Caenorhabditis elegans: one gene and its partner. The protein of the gene in region 2 purifies or fractionates together with the protein of the main gene of each other region. This does not show direct contact. Each region holds a gene or a part of one and is shown on either strand. Other genes may lie near its edges.

What was found. The genes of interacting proteins can lie anywhere in the genome.
Region 1: the proteins of asg-2 (region 2) and ucr-2.2 fractionate together in Caenorhabditis elegans (co-fractionation; one large-scale study listed by BioGRID). This does not show direct contact.

The regions. Positions count from the first base shown.
Region 1 is NC_003284.9:15,171,817-15,179,589, reverse strand, and holds ucr-2.2 (Peptidase M16 N-terminal domain-containing protein), read right to left. Parts: upstream 5,687-7,773; 5' UTR 5,686-5,686; coding exon 5,551-5,685; intron 5,502-5,550; coding exon 5,355-5,501; intron 5,093-5,354; coding exon 4,881-5,092; intron 4,828-4,880; coding exon 4,746-4,827; intron 4,699-4,745; coding exon 4,564-4,698; intron 4,559-4,563; exon of another isoform or gene 4,484-4,558; coding exon of another isoform or gene 3,999-4,483; intron 3,929-3,998; coding exon of another isoform or gene 3,127-3,928; exon of another isoform or gene 3,109-3,126; intron 2,738-3,108; coding exon 2,598-2,737; intron 2,547-2,597; coding exon 2,356-2,546; intron 1,840-2,355; coding exon 1,613-1,839; 3' UTR 1,445-1,612; downstream 1-1,444. Other genes in the region: pkhm-2 (PH domain-containing protein), read left to right, coding at 1-279, 346-814, 861-923; col-41 (Nematode cuticle collagen N-terminal domain-containing protein), read left to right, coding at 3,127-3,928, 3,999-4,483; ocr-3 (Ion transport domain-containing protein), read right to left, coding at 6,017-6,130, 6,875-7,006, 7,063-7,179, 7,223-7,349, 7,399-7,489, 7,531-7,640, 7,697-7,773.
Region 2 is NC_003284.9:6,839,624-6,844,140, reverse strand, and holds asg-2 (putative ATP synthase subunit g 2, mitochondrial), read right to left. Parts: upstream 2,884-4,517; 5' UTR 2,883-2,883; coding exon 2,778-2,882; intron 2,700-2,777; coding exon 2,580-2,699; intron 2,338-2,579; coding exon 2,245-2,337; intron 2,198-2,244; coding exon 2,120-2,197; 3' UTR 2,020-2,119; downstream 1-2,019. Other genes in the region: glr-6 (Glutamate receptor ionotropic, kainate 2), read left to right, coding at 3,526-3,592, 3,636-3,797, 3,845-3,980, 4,053-4,289. UniProt on the Caenorhabditis elegans protein: Mitochondrial membrane ATP synthase (F(1)F(0) ATP synthase or Complex V) produces ATP from ADP in the presence of a proton gradient across the membrane which is generated by electron transport complexes of the respiratory chain.

The DNA of each region.
Region 1 (7,773 bases), 8.3 Mb from region 2:
CATTGGATATATGTGCATGCTTCAGCCAAATTTAGAGAAGCAACTCGGACGCACAATTGATGTTCGTGCTGCGACGCTGTGCTTCTGGTACGAACAGACGTATGAGGAGCGTGAACGATCGACTGCAACAAAATCCGGTTTTTTGTTCAAATCGAACATTGGGAACTGGATTAAGAGCTCCGACGAGGCTGAGCAGAAGTACTGCATGATTGTTGGCAACAATTTTAATGTGTTTGCCGACTCGACCTGCAAGACCGAAGAATTGGTGATTAGCTTAAGGTTAGTAAAATCAGCTTTTGTGCATTAGACAACTCAATAAAATATATATAATTTGATAATTTTCAGTGGCTCCAGTATCAATAGCACAGGAAGAGTTGCTTTCCAAATGAAAGCTGCAGAAGGTACATTTGAGTTTGAGTGCCCAACCCAGGAGGATCAAATCGAATGGACCAGAATCCTGACAATGATTGCGGAGAATAAGACGACGCAGCCATACATGGCATCTTGCCTTGCAGTAGTCACGGAGACCTGCATCGCACTGGTTCAAGAGGGCGAAAAGTTCTGGTCCGATGGATTCTTGCGCCTTCTCAACGAAGTTGGAGGTATTAACGTCAAGCAATCGGTAGTTGTTCGTCAGCCGGAGGATAAGGAGAGCTTCTTTGGGAATCGCTCGCCTGCGCTTTGCTTGGTCACCAAAGACGATACCATTCATTACTTCTTCGTCCGATTCGATAAGGAGCTGGAACGGCTTGCGTCTGCTGTTCAAAGCAGTTACGGTGTCCGTTGGGCAAAGCTTGATGATGATTTGATTAAGGTATGTTAATAGAGAAACTTAGTAACTAATTAAATATAATTTCTAGACACCGATTGGAAAAATCATCCATAACACTTGCTGCTCCGCCAACACGCTGTGGCCAGTCTAATTCGCATCTCCATTTCTTTACTCATCAAGAGTTAACTCCATGATAATCGCTACCTGGTCCGGGTACCCATTGTACTTTTGTACTTTTTTTGTCCCAATTTTCCCCATACACATTCATTTCCATTTCAGCCTTAACACTTATAAAGTAGCTCAGTAGCTCATGTCATCTCCTCTTCCCACCTTCAACTCTGTTCCTTCGAACTTGTCTCATTTAATTGTAGTCTATCGCGGGCCCATTTGTGCAGAGCCCCCGGTGCTTCTGTTCGTCACGGCTAATAACTGTTAATTTCCCAGATTTCTTTCAACCCACCTTTTTGTTGTTGTTATCCTGCACATTTCAATGCTCACACCCCAAACTAGATTATACGGAATTTCATGTTTTTACACGTTTAAGTTGTCATTCTTTCCCGCTTCTCCCGAACGTTTCAAAGCCTAACTCTCACATTTACAATTCACTTATTCACCCTCGGTATATGTATAAGCTTATTCGAGCTTACTTTTTTTTTCTGTCTGTTTTTGATTACGTGAATAATTTCTTTATTTTTTTGTTCATTGAACAAACAAATTTCAAAGTCTAGTACCTTTTATTGACAGCAAAAAAATAGTCATATGAGACGGAAAACAAATTGACCAAAAAATAACAAAATGCGTTCGTCTACTGGAGTAAAATCATTTAATTTAACTAGATGCTCACAGAGTATCAACATATGGGACTTCTGAGACATTTCCATAACTGGCCAACGACAACTTGGTAGTCAATTTCTTGGCGGCAACTTCAACATCACTAGCCGACACATTTGGAATCTGTTGAATGTAATTGTCTTGGGACTGGAAGAGTTGGGAGGCTCTCTCGATGGCAAAGTTGTCGGAATGAGCAGAGGCTCTCAAGGCGTTGTTGAAGGCCTGCTTCTTGACGGCTGAAAGTTGAAATTAATACAAAAACCGATTAAGTCGGTAACGTCACAGTAGTTTGAAATTACCATCAACCTAAAAATCTGCAATTAGTTTTGTGCTAGAAATATTCCATTTCGCTTAAATTTTACGACAAGGTTAGCATAGTTTAGCTTTAGTCTAGTTTAGTTAAGTTCAACTCTACCACAAGAACACAATTTATATTTTGGGTTTTCAGTATAGGCCTCTAAAAATCATATTTATACAAAAGCCCTTCTCTAAGGCGGCTCAAATTGTAAATCTACATACAAAAATGTCAAGTATTAGGTCGTGAAAAAAGTTTTCTCCGAAAATTTTGAAAGTTTTGCCCCGGAAAGTTCTGCAGCTTTCTGGACTATTTTATTATAGAATGTTGTAGAACATCCTAGAAGCATATCTTTATTTAATTTTTATTTTTTTTTATAATTTCAGAAATATCGATGTACAAAAATAGTGTGATCCCATTTTATCAAATTTATACTCTAAAAAACAAAATTTCTTACCTTCAATATCAGCGACCTTCAAAGACTTCAATGCTCCAACTACATTCGAAACAGCTTGGTTAGCCTGGCTTCCTTCAACGACAAGGTATACTCCGGCCAGTCCACTATCCGCATGAACAGCTTGGAATGCGCTGGCCGATCCATTCTGTCCGACGGCTTTTGCGATGACTCCAGTGGTTCCGGTGTTGAATCTGAAATTAATCATTTCAAGTGTGAACATTGTAATTCCTTTTTTGTATTACTTGACTGGTGATGAATTTCCAAGTGCGGTGAGGAGAACTGCTTGGGTGGCCAATGCTTTCGTGTTGTTTCCGGCAGCTCCTTCTCCAGCGACAATCACATGCGCGTACTTCGAATCGGCATCTCTGCGCACTTCTCCTCCCTAGGTGTCAGAAAAGGTGAGAAATGATAGTATAGATAACATAAACAGTGGAGTGGATAATGAAATTGAAATTTGCAAAGTTTTTCTGTTCTATTTCCAAATCCAAAATGAGTGATTGCATTTTTTCGGGGAAAGAAACAATAGTAGCAAGTTTTTTCCTCTTCATGCCAAAGGTATACTGAATATCCGTCGCATTGCGATATCTGTCATACGACTAGGACCGGTAATTTTTTATCGGCGCGTTCTTCCCGATCTGTTGCGTGTCTAAGTTTCTAAGTTTTCCCAGCCTCCCCCTTGCCCTTGCAAGTTCTTGCCGGCTTTCGAGTTTTTTCGGAGAAAAATGTATAAAAAAGTGTTCACCAAAGCAATACACAACATTGTTCTCAACGATGTCTACTCTTGGCTATATTGGGGCAGGCGTCTGCTTGCTCGGAGTTTTCTCCGCTCTTTGCTCAATTGGACATATTGTTCAAGATATTAACAACCTTCGTTCCGAAGTTGAAGGACGCGTTGATGAGTTCAAAGTTCTTGCCGATGATACTTGGGATCGTCTCCTGATTCTTCAATCTCCAACAGGAGAATCTGCCAATCCAGTGCCATCCCTCCTCCGTAACAAGAGATTTGTGTACCCAGGAATGTGCAATTGCGACAGCAACTCTCAAGGATGCCCAGCAGGAGCACCAGGACCACCAGGAAACCCAGGAAAGCGTGGAGACGAAGGACATCCAGGAGATGAAGGAAGACGTGGAGCCAGTGGTATCTCTCTTGCAACCACTCACGATATTCCAGGAGGATGCATTAAATGCCCAGAGGGACCAGCTGGACCACCAGGGCCTGATGGAGACTCTGGACCAGAAGGATTCCCAGGACTTCAAGGGCAATCCGGACCATCCGGTGAAGATGGAGCCCCAGGACAGGAGGGAGCCCCAGGAGATCAAGGAGAACAAGGACCAAAGGGATACGATGGGACCGACGGACCAGACGGACAGCCAGGAACCACATACTTCCCAGGACAAGCTGGACAGCCAGGAGAGCCAGGATGGTTGGGAGAGCCAGGACTTCCAGGACAACATGGAGAGCCAGGAAAGGACGGAGAGGAGGGACCACAAGGAGCACCAGGAACTCCAGGAAACGCTGGTCACGACGCCTTCCCAGGAACCCCGGGACAAGCTGGAAAGCCAGGAGCTCCAGGTAAAATTTTTGTTGTTGTTACTAGGAATTTCTTGAACAAACAGTGATGAAACATTTTAAATTGTTTCAGGAAAAGATGCCAACTACTGCCCATGCCCACAAAGACAAGACGACAGAACCCCACCATCATCTGGAACATCCGCTCCACAGCCACCACCACGTGGATCCACTGCTGCTCCAGGAACTCGTGCTCCACCAGCAACTCGCGCTCCACCAGCAACTCGTGCTCCACCAGCAACCACCCGCGCTCCACCAGCAACAACTCGTCCAGCACCAGCTTCACAGCCACCAGTCAGAGAGCCAGAGACTCCAGATTCTGGATACCCATCCCCAGCTCCACAAGAGCCAGCTCATCCATCACCAAGCTACCCGTCTCCAAGCTATCCATCTCCAAGCTATCCATCCCCAAGCTACCCATCTCCGAGCTACCCATCCCCAAGCTATCCAGCTGAGCCAGCTTATTCCGTCCCACCACCAGCCAAGCCAGAGCAGCCATCAGGAGGATACGATGCTCCATCTCCACCACAAACTGGAAGCTACCAGAGACGTTGGTAGATGCGTGACACTTCTCATGACATTATTTATGACTTTGTTATCCAACTCCACTGAATAAATATTCGTTTTCAAGAACTCACCTTGTAAGCACTTGAAGATGGGGACGCAGCGTTTCCACTTCTGATTGGGGCGTGATTGTCTCCATAGAGAAGAAGGTCATCGTGAACAGCATTAGTGGCAAACAATACTCCGTTTCCTGTGACGAAGTGCTGCTCCTGAAATTTTAAAATTGAAAACTTGCAGATAAGAATAAGCAACTTACTGCAAATGAGGACAAAGTTGATGTGCAGATCGATCCAATTTTAGAGCATGGTGCATAGATTGAGTTTCCAAGTCCTCCATTTCTAAAAAAAAAAGTTTTGCTCAATGAATTCTCGAAAGCTTCTCAATGCCAAACCTGTAAGCGGCCTTGTGAATCTGGTCAACAACCAAGTCGTAAGCGGTTCTGTATCCGTTGTCAGCGCGCATAGTTGGCAGCACATCCTCGACTTCCCATGGCTTGAATCCTGGGTTACCAGCGACTTGTCCCAATACGGAAAGTCCGACGGAAGTGCTTTCGCGTGGAATTGTGAGGGAGACTCCGAAAAGATCGCGGGAGGTGAAGGATTTCTGAAACATCACCCTCGCTATGTCTGTGAGACTTTTTGGAATGCTCATGAAAATTTGATAATTTTGCTCCAAGTTAATTAGACCACATTTTTTCTGAAATTTTGATACAAAATACTTAATTCCAAATTTTTTTTCTAACAAATCTTTTCTAAAAAAAACTGTGAATGTATTATGCAATCTTTCTTCAAATTTACATTAAAATTCTTAGTTCTTTTCTAACGCCCAGTAGATTCAACTTTATCGATTTTTTTTTCTTGCTCACCAGAACTCCTCCGGTCTGTGACAACGTCCATACAACTGTGTTTCCAAAGTATTCCTGGGTATCTCTGCCGACGAAATTTCTGATGGTATGAGAGAGTCCGGCCTGGTTGGCTTTTTCGTAGCGACTTCCAGCTCTGAAGGCAAGAACCTAAAATTTGAAGATGATTTCGGATAGAAGAAACAAATTAAAAAAAAACCAAATGTGCAATTGGTTTGTGAGAGTCGATAGTTCCAACGGTCAATCCATTTCCAAGTTTGGCCACTTTTTCGACTGGTTTTGTCGTTGCTGCCTTATGGGCTCCGCGAACAGCTCCAATGTTGCGGCTAAGCATTCTGAAAAAACTAGATTTTCAAAGAAAAACTAGATAATTTTCAAAAATTGGGTAAAATTGAACAATACGGTTATAAAAAGTGCATAATTTATCAAATTTATTCATTTTTTGTTTAAATATTAAATGGAAAACTAAAAATAACTTCATTTTTCACAAAAATAGGTCCAAAAAATGAGAGACGCCTTTCCCGACTCATTGCTGACGCATCCCTTCTCGCTTGCGCGTTTCGTGCGCACATACGTCACTGGCCAAATGGCATGAAACGACGAGGACTATGAACACTTTATTACGGCAAAAATTAATAAACGAATAATTGAAATTTTTTTAGTTTTTACGAAGCATGTTTTGATAGAACATGTAAGACATGAATGGAACTGTTGTTTGACAAGCGGATTGACGGTTTTCCACGCGGTGGAATTAATTTGAGTTGTGGTTGCTGGCGGTCCTGAAAAAATATATTTGAAAACTAAAAAAATGATATAAATTTTGTGAGGTTTTTTTCGAGAGGAAAAGTTTGATTACAAATTTTTCAGTTTCAGCAAAAATTATGTTTTCCTATAATTTTTACAAAACTAACAAAATGTGCTTAAACCAAGTTAGGATATTTCTGAAGACATTAAAGGTGGTGTAGTCGAATTTTTTTATTGCTTTATTAGACTCAAAATTGTCTGGAAATGCCAAATTTCATAATGAAACTTCTTGAAAACTTCTTTTTAAAAAAAGTTATGACGGCTCACAAAATGGCCCAAAATTCGCTAGAATAACGGCGAGATTTTTAAATTATTTTAAACCAAATCTTGCCTTCCATCGACTTTAAAGTACCTAAATAAAGTTGAAAACACAAGATAATTACACGGTTTATTCAAAATTTGACGGTAATTTCAAAAAAAAATTGTTTCCAGCCGCTGCGACATAGGCAAGTCGGTCAAATTTCAAAATTTAACTAATTTTAGGTCACTTTTTCACGCGTCATAACTTTTTTTTGAGAAGTTTTCAAGAAGTTTCATTATGAAATTCGGTGTTTTCAGACAATTTCAAGTCTAATAAAGCATTAAAAATATTCGACTACACAACCTTTAATAGGATTCGGGAATCACCAAGTCTTGCCATCAAATTTGTACAATAAGAAATAAAGTTAATTTTTTTCAAATTCTAGTATAAATTAGGGAAAATTTATAGATTCACTTACATTCGACTTCACTTTCACAACAAATGCTCTTCTTCGTTTATCGGAACGTATTGGCCGAGTATAACGATAAAGTGATAGGAGGCGTTCCGAGGCTGAAGATGACTGCTCTAACATTAAAATTACTTGCGCCCACTGGAAAGTAAAATGGTGAAACTTGAAAATAAAATGTTGAAGTATAAAAAAATCACCTGACGCTTCCATTCTTTCTCAGTTTCGGCAATTTTCTCATAAGTACGAGTCATCATAGCAATTAGTAGATTCAGAAGCATAACAGTCACAATTAACTCGAAGAGGATGAAAAATACCTTAAAACGAGCTTGTAAGCCTGAAAAGAGCTTTTTTTGTAACCTTGGACTGTGGAGCAATGCTGCTTTTGCACTCGTTCAAGTTTTTATAAAGTGCACCAAATTCTCCCACACTCATAATAAACATTCTCATCACTGCCTCCCAACCATCTTCCATGATGTTTTCAAATCTAAAAAACATTAGGTAGTATAAAATCGTGATAAGAAATGTTTTCTTACTTCTCAATATATTCATCGTCTTCAGTATAGTTATGAGCTTTCTGATAAGCAATTTCTGCTCTCTCACAGGATTTGAATATAACAAAAAATGCTGGAAAATACTTCGACAATTGAAATTATGAAAACACTCACCTTGTGCAAATCCCATTAAGAAAAACGAGTATATAAGCAAAAATCGCAGCATATCTCTCACAATAATTTTGTACACCATCAACACAAATGGCCCGACAAATTTAAGACTTCTGAAAAACTTTGTCATAAGTTCAAACTTGTATCTTCAAACTTCTAAAAGACAAACCTGCAATAAAAAAGAAAATGCAAAGTACTCATGATTACAATGCACACCACTAGCAAGTTCTCAATGACTAGAAAACT
Region 2 (4,517 bases):
CGATTAAAAAAAATGCAAGTACAGCCACCAAACGCGAATTTTTTTTTGGTGGAATCTACATGGAATGGAGTTTAGATAAATAAAATGAATCGATTTTAATTATTAGGTCTCCAAATAAGTTCCGGGTCAAAAATCATAACTTCTTTCGCCTTTTATCGATTTTCTTGGAACTATGGGAATTTATGTTATCAACTATGATCTTTCATTTTGATATGGTCACAAAAATTTTTGACCACTAGGAATTTTTTCAAGCATTTTCCTGATCTCGCTTCTTTGCAGCTTTGAATTGAGGTTTATGTGCGGACTTCGCTTTGTTTAAAATACATTGTAAGAAAACAACAAAAGTTTGGAAAAAAATCAGTCCAAAAATTTTTTTTTGGTCGGTGGTCAAAAATTTTTTTATTTTTTTCAAAAAATTTTTTTTCGAAAATTCTTGATTTTTCATACAAAAATGATGTAGTCATGTGTGAACTATTTTTACAAATACAAAACATTTTAACTAAGTTCGTCACACTCAAATGATAATAGAAAACATAATTTTTTCGAAGAATATTTTTGAGTTTTTTGAGTATTTCTCGAGATCCAATTTTCAAACTCAAATGTTTTGTATGTTTAAAAATAGTTTACACATGGTTACATCATTTTTATACTAAAAATCAAAAACTTTCGAAAGAAATTTTTTTTGAAGTTTTTTTGACGGCCGACCAAAAAGAATTTTTTTGGACGGATTTTTTTCCAAACTTTTGTTGATTTCCTACGATGTATTCTAAACATAGTAAAATCCGCACACAAACCTTAGTTCAAAGCTGCAAAGAAGCGAGATCAGAAAAATGCCTGAAAAAAATGGCTTCGAGTTAGGGCACTCCGGGTGGTCAAAAAATTTTGTGACTATTTCAAAATGAAAGGTCATAGTTGATAACATGAATTCCCAAAGTTTCAAAAAATCTATAAAAGGCAAAAAAAGTTATGATTTTTGACCCGGAACTTATTTGGAGACCTAATACTTTCACAAAAAATTCACGAAAAACCTTTTCTGCATACCTTTATGTCCGGCACTGTAATTAATTTTTGAAAATATTTGTTGACGTGCAACTGTTCATGAACTAGGATTGATAACATGAACTGTTGGTGAATTTACATAAAATCATTATATGAAAGAAAGGAGAAAGTGTGATTTTCATTTAAGAAAAAGCTTGCAAAACTAATGAGACCTGCATACTGAATAATATATAAATCTGAGAATTTTCTTCCGAGATGGCAAACTTTTGGGTGACTAGGGTTCTATGGAAACGAAGTATTCAAAATTTCACAGGATCCAGTAGGCATAGTGGGGTGTATCATAGGGGCAAGGATCAATAGTGACAACCTTTTCTCAACTAGTTTTTTGTATGCATACATGTATATATTTATTTTGCAACTGATTTCGGCCATAATTCACTGAAATAAATTTGTAAATATGCCAAAATATTGCTAATGTGCGGTGAAATTAATTTTATGAATGTGAAAGGCATTTTGTCACTGGTTAGTGAACATGATTTTTTTTTTGATTTTTTCATAACTTTGTGGCTTTCTCATCTCTCTATTTCATATATTTTGATATGAAATAGAGAGATGAGTAAGCGCGCAGAAAAGTTATAAAGGGGTGGTACAGGGGACCAAGTTTACCCTTAAATCGGAAAATTATGAGAAACACCAGACTTTTGGTGATATTCTCAAAAAAAAATCGATTTAGGATTATTCCCTCCTGTATAAATGCAATTTCAAATTTAAAAAATTTACTTTGTGAAAATTGTATTTTAGTACACTTGCTGTACGAATATACTTATAAAATATTGACTACGGTGTAGATGTTATTCTTATTTTTATACTCCCCATGCATCTATGTACATATGCCAACTTATTAGAGCGTACTCTAAAAGTTTCTAATTTAAATTAATTTTTATTGCATTCAGAATGTCTTCCTTGAATGTTTCTCAAAACACAGCCAAATTTTATCAAAAATTATTAGAAATTTTTATATTTATTTTTTTCATCAATACTTCATTTTACAAACTCCAAAATAAATCTATCAAAAATTTGTCGATATCAAAAACGAGCCGCTAAACATAAGGATAACAATTTAGTTCTCGAGAGCAGCAAGAGCCTCTTGTTCTTTGACGGTCTTCTTGGTGGACTTGGAAACGTAATCAGCAGGAACCTACAATACGATATAATGACTAATAAAAATAATGCATGACAACTTACAAGATATCCGAAGATGTAGCGACGTCCAATCATTTCTCCAACGAAGAACCAGAAGACAACCTCAAGAGTGACGGCAGTGTAGACAAGTCCTTCCTGAAAAAATAAACGTTCCGGTTAATAAATTTCATCGTTTTGAAGTTTTTGATAACCAAATATGAATAAAAATTTGCATTAGTAATATCAAGTGAATTCGTTGTGTTTATTTATATATAGAGCAACACTTTAATGTTTGAAACGTTTAGTATGGTAATGTGAAAGTCTAGTATAAATGTTCTGGCTAACTATTCATAAAGTATATTTTTTAACTTTAACTTTTTTATTTAACAAAAACTCACTCTAATGCTCAAATTCTTGTATCCTCCGGTCTGGATGAAGCTCTGGACTTTGGCCCAATCGGCCTTGATGGCTGGCCAGTCAGCTTGACGTGGTGGAGCAAGCTCGTGCTTTCCTACGGCCTGTAGTGTTTGATTTTTTAAATTTCCAACATTAGACGGTGTCCAAAGACATAAATACACAGAGACAAAAAACTGTACCTTCAGAATAGCGAAGCGACGTGGAAATTGAGCATGTTGGTGGCGGTACAAAGCCCCAGTGAGGTTGGCGATCTTCTCAAAAAATCCAAGTTTTGGAGCAGCCATTCTGAAAAATTAACGTTATTTGAAACGAAAATTCATTGACACAAACAAAAATTGACGGAAAACACTCAGAGAAACACGGCAAAATATCTAAAGTTTTAAAACAAATTAATAAGTTGATTTAAAAGCAAAAATTAGTGTATTTTTACCCGTAAATGAGATGTGTACCGCCTTGAATTCCCAGAGACTTGCCTCTTCGTTATGAGACCTTCTCAATGGAGCGCAATTGCACATGTTACCTCTCCATCTTCCTTCCCATCTTTTGGCCGGCACAGGCGGGAGTATCGATTTTATTGAAGACGGAATTGTTTTACAAGGTGCAAATGTACAGATTGTTTTCTTCTGGAAAAAGTACGATGTTTTAAAACAAAAATATGACATTTATTTTTTAATTTATTAAAAAAAGCTTTAATAAAAGTTTTAAAAAAAGACATTGAAAAATATTCTTAAATGTTTAATTTAACATTTTTTTTTATCTTTCAAATTTCTGCTAGAACTTTGTATTTTGCTTTTTTCAACGCCCACTAATCAAAGTTCTTTTAGTGCTTGTGACAACACTATGGGAAAATCAGTCAATTCAATTATCGTCTACACATCAACCAATTAAGAATAAAATGAAAGAACTTGCTGAACAAATGCATTTGAAATGCTCAACATCTTCAGATTTCTACTATTATCTTTCCTAGGAACAGGTGTATCATCAATACGGATTGGTAGGCAATCAAATTGGGTTTCATCAGCAAAAAAAATTTTAAGGATTAATAACGAGTCACCATTTGGAGCATTCTGTACGAACCGCCGTGAATATTATAGTACCAAGAATCAATGAACAAATTGTGAAAACGCGAGGAGCTTGCTTTATCACTCACACATCCTTTATTGCACTGAAAAATTCGCACGAAGATTTGAACACAAAAAGTAAGGTAATGGAAAAAGTTCTCACATTTTTTCTCCTCGATTTTTAGTATGCGATCTCGCAAACTCAGAAGTCAGTGTTATTATTGGTGTTGTCGACAGAGAGAGTGGATCCATTATTGAAGAGCAATGTGCAGAGTTGAATATACTATTTATCCACTATTACTGGACACCCGGATATCAAAAGTAACATTTTTTAAAATTTAAATTTGATAAAAGCTTTTAAAAAGTATTAGCAATGTTTACTTGCTTTTTCAGAAAACAACAAACATCACTAAATTTGTATCCATCGATGGAATATTCTCAACTAATGGAAAGACTTATAAATCTGTGGCGCTGGGATAATTTCGTGTACATTTATTCAAATTATGACGCTCCGAAGCAACTTATCGAGACACTTTCTCGACTAGAAAAGAGCCCTGCTCTGCTACGTGCTCACACTTTGGATGACAGTATGATGGCAACAGCCTTGGCATTACGAGATACTTGTGACAGGTAGGTTTATTAATAGCACGTGGATCTTAACCGAAATATGAATTGGAACATGCCTGTTTTTGGAATTAAAAAGTCGTATAATAAAAGTTATATTTTATAGACTCAGAAATTATCAGTTATCTCCTGAAACTGAAAATAGTTTCAGATTTCGTTTTCAAGTGTTCATACTTGAGCTCCGCAGCTAAAGTTTCTTTGAAACAAAGCTTCTTTAACTTTTATACGTTTTGT